Linked DNA regions of Macaca fascicularis. The protein of the gene in region 1 interacts with the protein of each later gene in a biochemical or structural test. Links are inferred from orthologs where the notes say so. Each region holds a gene or a part of one and is shown in the gene's direction. Other genes may lie near its edges. The genes, in order: NUP85 and NUP43.

Region 1 (3,815 bases):
AGGTTGGAGTGCAATGACATGATCTTGGCTCACTGCAATCTCCGCCTCCCGAGTTCAAGAGATTCTCCTACCTCAGCCTCCCGAGTAGCTGGGATTTTTTTTTTTTTTTTTTTTTTTGAGACGGAGTCTCGCTCTGTCACCCAGGCTGGAGTGCAGTGGCCGGATCTCAGCTCACTGCAGCCTCCGCCTCCCGGGTTCACGCCATTCTCCGGCCTCAGCCTCCCGAGTAGCTGGGACTACAGGCGCCTGCCACCTCGCCCGGCTAGTTTTTTGTATTTCTTAATAGAGACGGGGTTTCACCATGTTAGCCAGGATGGTCTCGATCTCCTGACCTCGTGATCCGCCCGTCTCGGCCTCCCAAAGTGCTGGGATTACAGGCTTGAGCCACCGCGCCCGGCCGTATCTATTTTTTTGAGACAAGGTCTGACTAGTAGATTTCATCTGCAACAATTAATGTCAGTATGGGTTTATGGATATTAACTTTAGCCCATGGGTTGTTTTGTGGCGTTTTATTTTGTTGCCCAAGTTGTTCCAGCTTCAGAAGGTTACGAGCTCCTTCACAATGGCTCCCCTCTTTCTTTCAGCAAATTTCTACATTTATTTGAGTGTTTTCTTCTTTTCTAGCACTACAAGATGTTCCAGGCTCATCTTGTGTGTTATTTCATTTTTTATAGATTGGTTCGAGTGAGTAAAAACTACCGATCAGTCATAAGAGCATGTATGGAGGAAATGCACCAGGTTGCAAGTAAGGACTGTGTGTGTGTGTGTGTGTGTTTGTGTGTGTGTGTGTTGGTATTTTGAGTATTTATCTATGCATAAATACTGTGAGGTAAAGTTTGATTGATATTCCAGTCCAAAACTTACTTTTCCATCTTTCACAATCTTTACTTTTTTGGTAATCATTTAGAGTATTTTTTTTTTTTTTTTTTTTTTTTTTTGAGACCGAGTGTCACTCTGTCGCCCAGGTTGAAGTGCTGTGGCATGAACTCAGGTCACTGCAACCTCCACCTCCCAGGTTCAAGCGATTCTCCAGCCTCAGCCAGCCTCCTGAGTGGCTGGGACTACAGTTGCATACCACCAAGCCAAGCTAATTTCTGTATTTTTAGTAGAGGTGGGGTTTCACTATGTTGGTCAGGCTGGTCTTGAACTCCTGGTCTCAAGTGATCTGCCTGCCTTGGACTCCCAGAGTGCTGGGATTACAGGAGTCAGCCACTGTGCCTGGACTTTTTTTTTTTTTTTTCCTGAGACAAGGTTGCCCAGGCTGGAGTGCAAAGACACATTGTGGCTCATTGCAGCCGTGACCTCACCTCCTGGGCTCAAGTGATCTTCCTACCTCAGCCTTCCAAGTAGTTGGGATTGCAGGTGTGTACTGGCTATTAAAAAAAATTTTTGTCCCATCTTCCTCAGAGACATTTGTTCTGATAATTTTTAAATTTTTTGTAGAGACAGGGTCTCCCTAATTTTGCCAAGGCTGGTCTTGAACTCCTGGGCTCGAGCAGTCCTTTCACATCAGCCTCCCAAGTGTTGGGCTTACAGGTGTGAGCCACACATGAAGCCACTCTGACAAAGGTCAGAGACCTTTATGGTAACTTTGTTGCAGTTGAAAGTGCCATTTGGTAACTTCAGGGCCTTTGGTTTGAGAATTGAAGGGATATGAAGCATTAATAACAAAAATATCCATAATTAGAAGAGATTATAATTTCTTTTAATTTTTGTCATTAAAGGAAACAAAGGCTCAGGCCATAGACCCTGGAATATTCAGCTATGAAAATAAGCCTAAGAGTTCCATTGCTCACTTAAAATGTTTTGTGTTTCGTTAGTTGCTGCTAAAGATCCAGCCAGCGGCCGCCAGTTCAGCAGCCAGGTAAGGGGAGTCACCTTTGTTGTTTTAGCACCACTGTGTCCTGTGTCCTGGGCACCCACCTGGGGTGGCTTTGCAGTTCCTGTTACGGCAGAAGTCTCTTCAGGTAGATAGGCAGCTCCTTTGGGTGACAGTGATTGTCTTGCCCCTTTCAAGGTCTAGCTCACAAGGAAATGCTTGTTAAATACTTGAGTGAATGTTTGGTTCTTCTTCTTCTTTTTTTTTTTTTTTTTGAGACGGAATCTCGCTCTGTCACTCAGGCTCGAGTGCCCTAGGTTCAAGCAGTTCTCCTGCCTCAGCCTCCAGAATAGCTGGGTCCTACAGGTGCGTACCACCGAGCCCAGCTACTTTTTGTATTTTTAGTAGAGATGGGGTTTCACCATGTTGGCCAGGCTGGTCTCAAACTCTTGAACTCAAGTGATCCACCCGCCTCGACCTCCCAAAGTGGTGGCATTACAGGCGTGAGCCACCGTGCTGGCCCTGAATGTTCAGTTCTTATGGAACATGTATGTCCTGACCAAATTGTGTTGAGGGGTTGTCACCCGAAATGGAGAACTAATCTTGTGAGATCACTGTTCAGTCTCATAAACACTACTCACTTCTCGAACTCAATATTTTTTTTTTTCTTTGAAAGACAGGGTCTCTCTATGTTGTCAAAGCTGGTCTTGAACTCCTGGGCTCAAGTGATCCTCCTGCCTTGGCCTCCCAAAGTGCTGGGATTATAGGTGTGAGCTGCCACACCTAACCAAACTCAACATTTTTACTGAGTTGCAAGTGGCTCTACTTTACTTGGAGCTGGAAGATGACTTTTTCCTTAGTAGATGCTTCATATTAAATACTTTTCAAAGTCAGTAAGTGACTAGGCGGTAATTCAGTGTCTCTGAAGTACCCTTATAAACAAGTCATCGTGGTGTCTGTGGACCGAAGGATGGTGAGGAGAGGAAGCCTGCATATTCCTAAGGGCAAGGTCCAGGTCTGATTTATTTCGGGGTCTTATATTGGGCTTTCCCATTAATAGACTGTTTCCTAAACTTCAGTCCTTGGAATACCAACTTCACAATTCTTGCTCTGTCTACGTGTTTCGTGTCATCTACTGAATATTTTTGTAAATATCGTCTCTTCCTTTTACTCAAATGAAGTCCCTTGCTAAAGCATCAATTCATCGAGGTAGGCTGGGAGCAGTGGCTCACGCCTGTAATCCCAGCACTTTGGGAGGCTGAGGTGGGCGGATCTCTTGGGGTCAGGAGTTCGAGACCATACTGGCCAACATGGAAACCCCGTCTACTAAAAATACAATATTTAGCCAGGCATGGTGGTGTGCACCTGTAATCCCAGCTACTCGGGAGGCTGAGGCAGGAGAATTGCTTGAACCCTGGAGGCAGAGGTTGCAGTGAGCCGAAATCATACCAGTGCACTCCAGCTTGGCTGACAGAGTGAGACTCTGTCTCCAAAAAAAAAAAAAAAAAAAAAATAGCCAGGTGCGGTGGCTCATGCCTGTGATCCCAGCACTTTGGGAGGCCAAGTTGGGGGAGATCACCTGAGGTCAGGAGTTCAAGACCAGCCTGGCCAATGTGGTGAAACCCCGTCTTGACTAAAAATACAAAAAATTAGTTGGGCGTGGTGGCACACGCCTGTAATCCCAGCTACTGGGGAGGCTGAGGCAGGAGAATCACTTGAACCCAGGATGCGGAAGTTGCAGTGAGCCGAGATTACGCCACTGGACTGTAGCTTGGGCAAGAAGAGCCAAACTCCATCTCAAAAAAAATAAAAAAGTAATAATTGGTGACATGCAAGTTATATTTTTTTCTTTTTTTCTTTTCTTTTCTTTTTTTTTTTTTTGAGATGGAGTCTCCCTCTGTTGCCCAGGCTGGAGTGCAGTGGCACGATCTCAGCTCACTGCAAGCTCCGCCTCCTGGGTTCACGCCATTTTCCTGCCTCAGCCTCCCGGGTAGCT
Region 2 (3,815 bases), on another chromosome or scaffold:
ATTGTTATCATTTGCTACTAATTGAGTTAAATAAATGAATAGATTTCCTCCCTGCTAGTATTTCTGAGTCTTTAACAAGCAGAAATTTTCTCTTTAGTTTTTTGACCAGGAAAGAATTGTCACTGCTTCATCAACAGGATGTGTAACAGTTTTCCTTCACCATCCGAATAACCAGGTAAAGAACTTCAGTTTGAAAAGTGATTTTTTTTTTTTTTTGGAGATGGAGTTCTGCTCTTTTTGCCCAGGCACTGGAGTGCAATGGCACAATCTCGGCTCATCACAAGCTCCGCCTTCCAGCTTCAAGTGATTCTCCTGCCTCAGCCTCCCAAGTAGCTGGGATTACAGGCATGTGACACCATGCCCGGCTAATTTTATATTTTTCGTAGAGACGGGGTTTCTCCATGTTGGTCAGGCTGATCTCGAACTCCTGACCTCAGGTGATCAGCCCTCTTCACCCTCCCAAAGTGCTGGGATTATAGGCATAAGCCACTGCTCCCGGCCAAAGGTAACGTTTCTAATAGACATGCCTAGTAAATATAAGACCCAGTTCGTGTTAAAGGTTTTTTGAGTCATTTAGAAAAAGCTACAGAGATTAATATTTTTTTAATTAATTAATTTATTTATTTTGAGACAGAGTCTCTCTCTGTCGCCCAGGCTGGAGTGCAGTGGCACGATCTCTGCTCACTGCAGCCTGCACCTCCCTGGTTCAAGCAATTCTCCCACCTTAGCTTCCCAAGTAGCTGGGATTACAGGTGTGTGCCACCATACCTGGCTAATTTTTGTATTTTTAGTAGAGATGGGATTTCACCATATTGACCAGGCTGGTCTCGAACTCCTGACCTCAGATGATCTGCCTGCCTTGGCCTCCCAAAGTGCTAGGATTACAGGCATGAGCCACAGCCATGGGCCAGAGATTTATATTTTAGATGTAGGTTAATTTCCATAAGAATACAAAGAGTTGCTTTTGAACATCCAACTGCTTGATCCCTAAAAGTCATTACTGTAGTTTGAGATAAATGTGGGGCATTATTAAACAGTATTTCTTTTGAATCTAATTCTATGTATACAGAACTTTGATGCAAGTAGTTTCTAGATTTCATTATTCTAAAGGAAAAAAGATTTATTCTTGTAGAAGGATGTGAGTCAGAATTTAAAGATACTCTTGTTGGTAAGAAGTGCTAGTTCCTTAGTACTTTTCTTTAATAGTATCCTCATTTCTGATGCCTAGACTCTGTCAGTCAACCAGCAGTGGACTACAGCTCACTACCACGCAGGCCCTGGCAGTCCTTCCTATAGCAGTGCACCATGTACAGGTGTTGTGTGCAATAACCCAGAAATCGTTACAGTTGGAGAGGATGGTCGAATAAATCTCTTCAGAGCTGATCACAAGGAAGCTGTAAGAACCATAGGTAAGAAAAATCCCAGCCTGGCCAACATGGCAAAACCTTGTCTCTATTAAAAATACAAAAGTTAGGCTGGGTGTGGTGGCTCACCCTGGCAATCGCAGCACTTTGGGAGGCGGATCACCTGAGGTTGGGAGTCCAAGACCAGCCTGACCAACATGGAGAAACACTCTCTCTATTAAAAATACAAAATTAGCCGGGAATGGTGGCACATGCCTGTAATCCCAGCTACTTGGGAGGCTGAGGCAGGAGAATCACTTGAACCCGGGAGGCAGAGGTTGCAGTGAGCAGATTGTGACATTGCACTCCAGCCTGGGCAATAAGAGTGAAACTCTGTCTCAAAAAAAAAAAAAAAGAAAAGAAAAGTGAGCCAGGCATGGTGGCGCATGCTTGTAATCCCAGCTACTCAGGAGGCTGAGGCGGGAGAATCACTTGAACCTGAGAGGCGGAGGTTGCGGTGAGCTGTGATGGCACTCTACTCCCACCTGGGTGACAGAGGGAGACTCCATCTCAAAAAAAGAAAAATCATTGTATTCCTTTCATTCATCACAGAGTAATTGAGTGCTTACCATATACTAAGTAAACACTGCCAGGCATGATGGCTCATGCCTGTTACCCCAGCACTTTGGGAGGCCAAGGCAGGCGGATCACAAGGTCGAGAGATTGTGATCATCCTGGCCAACATCGTGAAAGTCTGTCTCTACTAAACATAACAAAAATTAGCTGGGTGTGGTGGCATGCGCCTGTAGTCCCAGCTACTCAGGAGGCTGAGGCAGAAGAAGCGCTTGAACCTGGGAGGTAGAGGTTGCAGTGAGCCAAGATTACACCACTGCACGCTAGCCTGGCGACGAAGCAAGACTCCATCTCAAAAATAAAAGTAAACACAATGAGCCGGGCGCGGTGGCTCACGCCTGTAATCACAATACTTTGGGAGGCCGAGGCGGGCGGATCACAAGATCAGGAGATTGAGACTATCCTGGCTAACATGATGAAACCCCGTCTCTACTAAAAATACAAAAAATTAGCCTGGCATAGTGTCGACAGTTGTCTGTAGTCCCAGCTACTCTGGAGGCTGAGGCAGGAGAATGGCATGAACCTAGGAGGCAGAGCTTGCAGTGAATCGAGATCGCACCACTGCACTCCAGCCTGGGCGACAGAGCGAGACCCCGTCTCAAAAAAAAAAGTAAACACAATGTTAAGTGATTGAGGGATATAAAAATATATGGCTGGTAGCAGTGGCTCATGCCTATAATCCCAGCACATTAGGAAACCAAGGCAAGCAGATCATTTGAGGCCAAGAGTTTGAGACCAGCCTGGCCAACATGGCAAAACCCTGTCTCTACTGAAAGTACAAACATTAGCTGGGCATGGTGGCACACGCCTGTAATCCCAGCTGCTTGGGAGGCTAAGTCATGAGAATTACTTGAACGTGAGAGACTGAGAGGCTGCATTGAGCCAAGATCACGCCACTGCACTCCAGCCTGGGTGACAGAGCAAGACTCAGTCTCAAAAAAATACATGTACACATGCACACACATGCACGCACGGCAGGATCCCTTTGTCAAGAGAGTAGGTTGATGAGGCCAGTACGAATGACTGACTAGAAGAAACAGAAACCATTTTTTTTTTTTTTTTGGCGAGAGGGCATTATCAGATAAAGCATCTGGGAGTAGGTAGTAATTAATAGTTTTTCTGGGTTCTAGACCATAAGTAAGACTGAAAGATGGCGTGCTAGACAAAGGGAATAGGCCAGAGGCAGGATAAAGACATTCAGAGAATGACAAAAAGTATGGTTTGACCTGACTTTAGATATCTATGTAGGAGAGATGAAAGATGAAGCAAGAGAGGGGTAAACTGGGGCCAGATTGCAGAGTCTGTAATGCAAAATCACAGAGGTTTCATCTTTTTTTTTTTTTTTTTTTTTTTTGAGACGGAGTCTTGCTCTGTCACCCAGGCTGGAGTGCAGTGGCCAGATCTCGGCTCACTGCAAGCTCCGCCTCCCGGGTTCACTCCATTCTCCTGCCTCAGCCTCCCGAGTAGCTGGGACTACAGGCACCCACCACCTCGCCCGGCTAGTTTTTTGTAATTTTTAGTAGAGACGGGGTTTCACCGTGTTAGCCAGGATGGTCTCGATCTCCTGACCTCGTGATCTGCCCGTCTCGGCCTCCCAAAGTGCGGGGATTACAGGCTTGAGCCACCGCGCCCGGCCGAGGTTTCATCTTTTAGGTAGAAAACTAAGTGTATTGGTTCTCAACTATGCTTCAGTCAGATTTCTCTGAGGCAATTTTTTAACTGTCCACCACTCTAGACCTCTTAAATCAGAATCTCTAGGAATTGAGCCCATGAATCCATTTTGTGAGTGGTTTTTTTAAGATGTAGTCTCACTCTGTCACCAAGCTGGAGTGCAGTGGC

Evidence for each region.
Region 2: the proteins of NUP85 (region 1) and NUP43 form a complex in vitro, tested with the Homo sapiens proteins (2 studies listed by BioGRID). The link is inferred for Macaca fascicularis from reciprocal best matches to the Homo sapiens genes NUP85 and NUP43.

The regions. Positions count from the first base shown.
Region 1 is NC_088390.1:81,599,991-81,603,805, forward strand, and holds part of NUP85 (nuclear pore complex protein Nup85), read left to right. Parts: intron 1-674; coding exon 675-745; intron 746-1,820; coding exon 1,821-1,864; intron 1,865-3,815. UniProt on the Homo sapiens protein: Essential component of the nuclear pore complex (NPC) that seems to be required for NPC assembly and maintenance. As part of the NPC Nup107-160 subcomplex plays a role in RNA export and in tethering NUP96/Nup98 and NUP153 to the nucleus.
Region 2 is NC_088378.1:57,729,347-57,733,161, reverse strand, and holds part of NUP43 (nucleoporin Nup43), read left to right. Parts: intron 1-97; coding exon 98-175; intron 176-1,228; coding exon 1,229-1,409; intron 1,410-3,815. UniProt on the Homo sapiens protein: Component of the Nup107-160 subcomplex of the nuclear pore complex (NPC). The Nup107-160 subcomplex is required for the assembly of a functional NPC.